Schizosaccharomyces pombe: one gene and its partner. Changing the gene in region 1 together with any one later gene gives a genetic interaction. Each region holds a gene or a part of one and is shown on either strand. Other genes may lie near its edges.

Evidence for each region.
Region 2: mutations in nnr2 (region 1) and bqt3 together harm fitness more than expected from each alone (negative genetic interaction), as found in Schizosaccharomyces pombe (one large-scale study listed by BioGRID).

What each region holds. Positions count from the first base shown.
Region 1 is NC_003421.2:1,442,180-1,446,382, reverse strand, and holds nnr2 (NADHX dehydratase Nnr2), read right to left. Parts: upstream 1,895-4,203; 5' UTR 1,731-1,894; coding exon 747-1,730; 3' UTR 501-746; downstream 1-500. Other genes in the region: SPOM_SPCC61.04C (Rab GTPase-binding protein), read left to right, coding at 1-40; SAGA complex subunit Spt3, read right to left, coding at 2,458-3,381.
Region 2 is NC_003421.2:366,865-371,198, forward strand, and holds bqt3 (bouquet formation protein Bqt3), read right to left. Parts: upstream 2,154-4,334; 5' UTR 2,132-2,153; coding exon 1,976-2,131; intron 1,927-1,975; coding exon 1,315-1,926; 3' UTR 582-1,314; downstream 1-581. Other genes in the region: vsl1 (SNARE protein Vam7), read right to left, coding at 1-53, 90-125. UniProt on the Schizosaccharomyces pombe protein: Connects telomeres to the nuclear envelop (NE) during both vegetative growth and meiosis. This connection ensures clustering of telomeres to the spindle pole body (SPB) when cells enter meiotic prophase.

The DNA of each region.
Region 1 (4,203 bases):
TTACGGGGTCTTTGCCGTGATCACCGTGTTTTCGAAATAATCGTATCTGTGCATCTTTATCCCATAAAAGAGATATTTATTATCCATGTTCTTTCTTTTTATCTCACATTTCTTTTTTTCAAATTAAATAGTAACATTTTTAATTGATAACGCATTTCAATATTCCATATTGTCAATTATGACTTTCCAAGAAGAAAAACAGTAGAATGAAAATACAACGTTGAGGTCAAGATAGGAATTGATTAATAATCTAGATATCTAAATCGTAGAATATTAGAATTTAACTATTATATGAAGGTTTGAATTGGTTTCCGAAGCTATTGTCGTGCTCATAGATACATCGTCTTATAGTAAAACTTAGGAACAATACTAATTTCCGTTAAATTTGATAATGTAAATAATGACAATTACGAATCAAAAAGAAGAGTCTGCTTGCCCTTGTCTGTTACAATAAATAAAAACGGTGACAGCTACATCAAATTTCCTCAACAACAATGATACCAACGACTATGCAATGTTTATTTTGAACATGGTTTTTAAAATTAAATACGCTATTTCATTAATAATCTGGTATTTTCGTTTCAGTCATTCCTAGTAACTAAGTTTAAGGTATCCCTTTGCTTGGGAATTTGAACCAAGACTTGAAAACATGGTAATAATGTCAATTCCAGGGAACAAACAAGCAAAAAAGTCAATTATTAGTTTAAGGGTCCTTTATCTTCTTGGTTTTTAAATATTATTTTTTTTTAATCTTTTATTTTTTCCTCGACAGACGGTATCTCATCCTCCATTAACGCATTATACGCTTTACCCACATGTCTGACCAGGTCAGTTGATTGAGTTGCACGACCACATTCCTTAAACGCCAAACGACTGCACCAGCGAGTACAGGCAGAGGCTCCAAATGCGGCAAGGAAGAGACATTCTTTAGCATCCATATTACCTTCTGTATCCCATTCTTTGCTAAGATAAGCATGTCTCCAAGCAAGGAATGTAGCAAGTATACCAGTTAAAATGTCACCCTGACCACCACAACGTTTAAGACCACCAGGAACGGAGCAAGCATATGCAGTAGCGCCATCGGAAATAATATCGGATTGGCCTTTTTGAATGATGAGCAAATTTAGTTTGCCAGCTAGCTGATTGCAAGCATCGGGTCCGTCACTCTTAATGTCAAGCTTGTCGCAAAGTCTTTTGAACTCAATAACGTTAGGTGTTAAAATTACATTATGATAACCCGAAACCAATTCGGGACGTTGTTGAATTAACCACAAGCCATCAGCATCGATAACCATAGGCATATCATTTTTGCGCGCATACTCAATTACTTTGGCCATAATCTCTTGCATCCATTCATCACGTCCCAATCCAGGCCCAATTACGATGGCATGCAATCTTCCCATCATGGGCTTTATAAGTTCAAAGCATTTATCGACACTATCTTCTGGTCCAGCTTTGTCCTTTTCACGTAAAAATGGATGAACAATCAGATCAGGAGAATAGCTTTTAATGACATTTGCAGCTTCTTTTTCACAAAATATGTGGCTTTGGTCACTGCCGAAGAGCATCGACGACATCGAAGAATAGTACGGAGCACCTGTGTAGTGCTGACAACCCCCAAAAACACCAACTCGACCGGCTTGACCTTTGTGGAAGGTATCAAGAAGTGGTGGAATGATGCGCTTCACACGAGTCAGCAAATTTGTAATTTTGGGAGATCCAGATGTCATGTTGTAATCTTGTTGAGCGAATTCTTCGGATAGCAAAAAATTATAAAGAATTACAATTATAATAAATCAAAAAGTCTTTAAAATTCCTGAATTTTGTATCTCTTAAGTACTGTGAGTGCTTCGGAATACGAATGTTCGGTTATTCTTGGAGTTGGCGTATGTATGATGTTAAGGTGGAAGGTATGATCAAAATGACGCTCAGTGATGAAGTTCAAATGTTCTCGAAAACAAAAAAAAAACGTAAAGAAACCCTTTGTTTTTTAAAAATTTCGCACTGACGATATCAAAAGGATGATCCCCTTGTTCATTACGAAAATCAGCAGTTTGTATAGAGTAAACGAAGTTTGGTAAGAAGATTTGCAAATATTCACAGATATCATGAGATTCCAGTATAATAAGAAAAATTTGATATTAAAAAATCCAAAAGTCCAAATACTACCACTGCTGCAATTAAGAATATCGCTTAGTGGAAAGATAGAAATAAAATTATGAATTCAATCGGAGATGCAAGACAACAGTCTAATGTGATGAAATATATTGAGTAGTTAATATCTCCATAAAGTAAAGGGGCTTTCGTAAGATCTAAACCATATTGTTTCAAGGAGAACCAGTAATGGGGATAATAACATATACGTACCTAGTATGGGTAATTACAGGAAAACAGGGCATTTAGATGTAAATGGAAGCCTTACAGCAATTAAAAAAAAAGAAGAGACAGTGAAAATGATTAGATAAGATACACACGAGATTTGACCAAACCCCCATGAAAACTGCGCATAGCAGTATGAGTTTTATCGGGGATTTGCAAACGACGAAAAGCTTCTAAAACATGAGAAACTTGAAGGGGAGTTCTCCCCTCAGTAAGTCCATCAAATAAACTGCAATTTTTCGGATGATGCGCTGCATGAGAGCCTCCACTACCCGAGCTATTTTGAATCCGATCCATTCGATCTTTCACAGCCAGTGCTTCCTCAGTTAAGGTAGCCACAATCTCAAAGGTCAAGAAGCCAAGTATATCTACAATATCATTATCAGGGCGAGTATCTGTTAGAATAGACATGCCACACCATTCACGAAATCGCTTGCCTTTTCGATAAGTAAAACTGGCTTGTCGACATTCACTCCAATGAACATACTCCTCACGCGTCATTTTCTTCGTGCGTTCATCTGCCATTTTAAGACGTTGTCGCGTCGCATATGCCATTTCCATCGTATCGTTATCTTCTTCAAACTCTTCTGTTTCCGGTACAGGCTCTGTAAACATATTTTTTACTTCCCAAGGCATAGCAACTGCATTCATTGACCTTGTTTTTGAATCTACTTCCTCAAAAAGATCTTTTGTATCGGCAGGATTGGCATCCTGCTCCTTCGCTTTCTTGCGCACTTCCTTCCATGACAGGTATGTCTTTAGTCGATTCACCTTTGCACGATCATGGCGAATTAAGAAAAATAAATCTTCCACAGTAATAGATCTTGAGCCACGTCGTAAAGCTAGCTCATTTGCCTGAATTAACATCTCCATCACTTGTCCACGTATTAGCTCTTCGACTAATTGTGTGGTTTCTGGGAGAGGATCCTGCACCTCCCCTAGAATGAACATCATTTGTTGAATTTCAACACGATATTTACTGGTTCTGCCAGTCTCAGTCATTCCGCATTGCTTATTTTTAACCACTTCCCAAAGTGGTGGGTAGTTGACAAGTTGCTGAACTCCAAACTGACAAGAAAAATATAGTTTCCAGTAAGAAGGACTAATTGATGGGGCATAAAGTGCTTTAAGTTGAAAAAGAAAAACCATTGTCAAACGTTTAGCTTGCAAAAAGCAAACAAATTTTATGAGAGCTGGATACACTATCCAAACTGCAAACCCAGTCCATTCTTTCGTTACAGAACATCCAGTACAACTAGTTAGTGAAGAAGTGTTATTAGAAGAGTAACTCCTGTCTTTTTTTGAAGCATAGGTTTATTAATTTAAGATTGTAAATGTTTGAAATTTTTTACCTTCGTAACTTGTTTACTTCCGTTTAAAGTAGATACTTGAGTAATCTATAAAGTGAAAAGCATCAACTTTCTTTGGTCTGAAACTCTCTTTTGCTAGATCATTCATCTTTGTTGCCATAAATGTAAACACCTTCTAATTATCAGCAATTTGTGATATTACTAGCAATTCTTTAGATTATGTTTTCGTGTTTAGAAGGATTTCATTAGTCTGAGTGATATTGCAATTTCTTCTTAATGCTTCTATTTCGAGCATGCTGTAAAATCGTCTGCTACCAATCTCTGTAATTTTTAATACTTCCAAAATGTTTAAGTGTGACTAGAAACTAAATTGAATACTCTGAACAAATGAATACCCTATTGAAGCCATCACTCATAAATTCGAGGAGTTAATTGCGGGAACATCAAATTGGCGGCTTAGCCTGAACCTCGGAGAAAGGGTCAAAGTGTAATTCTTCTATTATTTAAAAAAGTT
Region 2 (4,334 bases), 1.1 Mb from region 1:
GGAAATGCTACTTCAATATGGTAAACCGTCCATCGTGAATATTCATCAGAAGACTAGTTGTAAGTAAAAATTAAAGGAATAAAGCTTACTTGAGACGTTTCTGGTATTTTAATTTTTAGCGCCATACTTGCTATGAACAGGTTGATCAACAATGAGTTCATGAACAACAGACTACTGTATCGGATTTACTGCACTATCGTTATAAAACTGTATAATGTAGAATTTGAGCTTTCAAATAGTATAGGTTCTATTAGTTGAATAAAGATAAATTTCAGTTTCATGATGCTTTAGATCCTTTAAACCTCATGTTTTCCTTGATGCGCGAGATGCCTTTACGATTATCGAATTGGCAGGTATTGAAAGAAAGTTTACCAGTTTGCAATAGATTTAGAAATTAAAATAATGAATTAGGTTAGTATATTATCTTATACCTTTAAACACTTTATAGTCAGATTATTGAGTATTTTTTTTGGCACTCGTGAACGGTGCAACTTACAAGTAATTACAATACCTAAACAGAAGAACGGCAAAATCTTAACGAAGCTTAGTAATAAACAGAAATTGTTTATTTTCTATATTTTCCTACATGGATTGGTTGCAAGCGCGACTTGCCTAAAGTATTAAAAGCACAGAATAAACGCCAGATCGTAACATTATGCAAAAGTGTAAGTATAGGTAGATTCCAAATAACAACAGTACTCTGATATGCATAAAGATTTTTCACTTAAAATACATGTCATGTAAATATAAAGGCCCCACAGATGATATATAATAGTACTAGTGGAACTTAACAACTGTTTTTTCATATCACGAGAGGGAAAAATATACAGCGAAAAGACTTCTCACATTTGCTTAAAGTATAACCATATACTGCTTTTGAACGATCATCCAATTCAAACTATGCGACCCTAATAGATGAGAATAAAGGACGAAACATCCCACAATGGATATCTTTTAAAAGAGTTCGGAATCAATTTGAAACCACAGTCATTAAATTACATATATTCATAGTCAGTTCCACACATGATGTTCAACTCAGAAAGAAGAAATCTGCCTCCTTCATCAGAAATAAATTCCACCGTGAAAACGAAAAATGAAAAAGAGAAGAAAAAGGGCATTAACCTGATGAAAAAAGTTTGACGTTACCTCACTGAAATTATTGAACACGAGTAAAGACATATAGACAAATTTGGAAAATCCCATAACAGATACAATGAATTAAGATAAGCCCATGAGAACTTCCACCAGGAAGTAAACAACCAACTAACTACATTACAAGAAAAAAAATGATGTAAAAGAAACAGAACTCGAACTTTACAGAGACAATGCCCAGCAGATAAAAGTGATAATCCAAATTTGTGACAAGTAAGCACCCACCACTTGGAACATGGCGGACCAATTCATTGAAAACAAAATTGAATAAGGAATAAAGCAATTCCACAGAGTAAGGAAAATCATCAAAAATAATGATTGGGGAATAGGCCTTTCACTAAACACGACTCTTTGAATAACGTAACCAATTGGTACATGGGCAAGATATTGTAACGGGAGCGGAGGGGCAACGAGACTAGTAACAACGTTATGGGAGTTTCCAAGAATAAGACCGTTTAAGAATATCTTTTGTGATATATAATTAAGCACGCTGATCAATACACTCGCCATAATTGTGAATAGGAAAGAGACACTATACTGTGTGTTGACTTGGTTTGAACATTTGATGGGGTTAGCTCTAGAGAAACAGCGCGCCACTAGCAAAGAAATGGCGTCAATTATGAATGCCCAAGCAATTTGACTCAAAGGAGTAAGGTAGTAGGTCGAGAGAAGCACGTATACTGGATATTTCGTAAGTAAAAGCCATCCATAACCTAGGTTGAATTTCTGCAACAGAAGAGATTGACCAACGTGCATAATAATTGATAAATAACTCTTTCAATCCATTGTTAGTAAATCTAAACTTATATAATGATCTGCATACCATCCAGTAAGGAATATCACTTTCCACCACCCCCGTGGAAGCTAATAATCGTGGATTGAGGTGATAATTTAGCAAGCCATAAGTTAACGTGTGTAAAAATAGGTAAATGGACACCTTTATGGTGTTTGAAGACGAACAGCACTTCGATCCTGACATTTTGCGAATATTGGTAGTTTTCATATAGTTTGTCATCGATGAACACACAAGTAACGATTGATCAGGTAACAGTATCTTCAAACAATGGAGTCTGTGAAATGGTAAATAATGAATCAGCAGGAAACCAGGATCCTTTGAATTTAGGTAGTAAGTCTATGGAAAACCAAAATTATATTTTTCTTGAAATTCCGTGTTATTAAATCTCTAGGATTAGTTTGCAAGAAAGTGTTCTCCGTGCAAACATTAGAACCGTGGGATTTTAAGCATAAAATGGGTACAAAATGAAATATAAAAACAAAGAATGACCGATGCCTTTATTACCATGAATAATTATGTGTTTTGAATTATCCCTAAAAAAAAAAAACATTACCTTTATTTTCACTTTATTAAAATAATTTTAACTTATTCATGGAGTTGGTTCATTAACTTAAATGATCGTAAATAATAATCCAAAAAACCTTATACTGCTAATTTACTAGTACCTTTTTTTTTATTTTATTCTTTTTTAAAAAAGAAAAAAGGGGAAATTAGCGACATATATTATGGACTTAAATTTTTCTAAGTACATTACTTTACGTATATGCAACGATTAAAATCAAACTGAAGTAAAAAGGTGATTTTTTATAATTCCTAAAGTCAAACAAAATAATTATTTAATAACATAAAAACCATGAGGTGATTGACTTGAGCGGTAATTTAATATATCAAATAATTTATGTTATTTCAAATCTCTCTTCCCTTAATAATCTGATAATCTATAGTCACTGAGAACACATATATAATAAAAAATGTGCTATTTCAAAATATTTATTCCATTATAGGTAGCTTCATTTTTCATGAGAGAATCGCCAGTGTATATTGAAAATTCATAAAAATAAAAAGCTAAATATTTCGGACAATTGAGACAAAAAAACCTATAAATATATATGTACATATTAAAATAATTTTTTGAAATTTATTAGAATAATCAAGCTCAAGCTTTTGCATTGAAAAGAATTTATACATAAAACATGAATGTCTAAGTATAAAAATTTGAATTAACTAGTTGCTTATATTTCTACCTTTGACATAATGTTATTAAAGAAAGGAAATAAATACATCTGAACGAAATAAATTATAAGTTTATAGGTAAAATGGTTATACAAAGGTGGAAGTACTGTTGGCGTAACTTATTTTTCTGAAGCATTAATGCAAACACCAAACCCGTGCCAACATTAATACTCCATATCTGAAAGAGATAAGTTATTCTATATAGTAAAAAGCTAAATGATTATCAACAAAGTCGATACAATTGCTATATCGGATTTTATATTCACTGATACTCAAAGAATATCAAAATACAATTACTGCATTCTTTACAAATTCTGGATTTCTTTTTGGTTTAAAAAGAATTCATTGAGGCGATTTGAGGATTAGCAGCATATATGTCAAACATTTAAAAGTGTAAACAAAGTATAGAAGAGCTAGCAAATAGCGGAAAAAGGAACGCCCAAAAACTTTATTAATATTAAATATAGAAATTTCTTATGAAATGGCAAGTTTAATTCAAATATGCCAAAAATCTCCTTGTTTTAACAATCGAGAAAACACAGGAATTCACAAAATAGCCATGTACTTGAAAGTCCTTCATCGCGAATGTATTATTGCATTTAACATATATTGTTCCAATTGTACTGCCAGACAAACCAGAATAATATTTTTAACAACATAGCGTGTTCAAAAACTCAACTTGACTTTTCATCAATTAATCATTTTTTGTCGAAATCGTTACAAGTATTTGAGAGAGCGTAATGATTACATTACTTAAATCCAGCTGATGATGTACAAAAGATAATAATTGCGGTTTTTGAAAATGAAAGCGAAGTTTAGAAAAGGGCTTGCTATGTGCATACTGAATGTTTAAGCAACATAAAGACGATTCTATTCGAAAACCGTGCAGAAATACAAGACTTGCTGTTTCGTTTGCTAGATCAATCGATAGTCAAGATTATTTTATACATTAATAAATAGTAAGGTAACTGATCAATCAATAAATTTAACCAACAAATTGTTTCTCGCCATGTAATAGTTTTAGAATTTTTTAGATATTTACCAAATAGTGATACAGAGCGCGAATCATGATAGTGAGTTCTTGAGAGGACTACCATATCGCTTTCATCGATTACAAGCTAGTTAAATCATTAAATTATCTTTTGCATTCGGA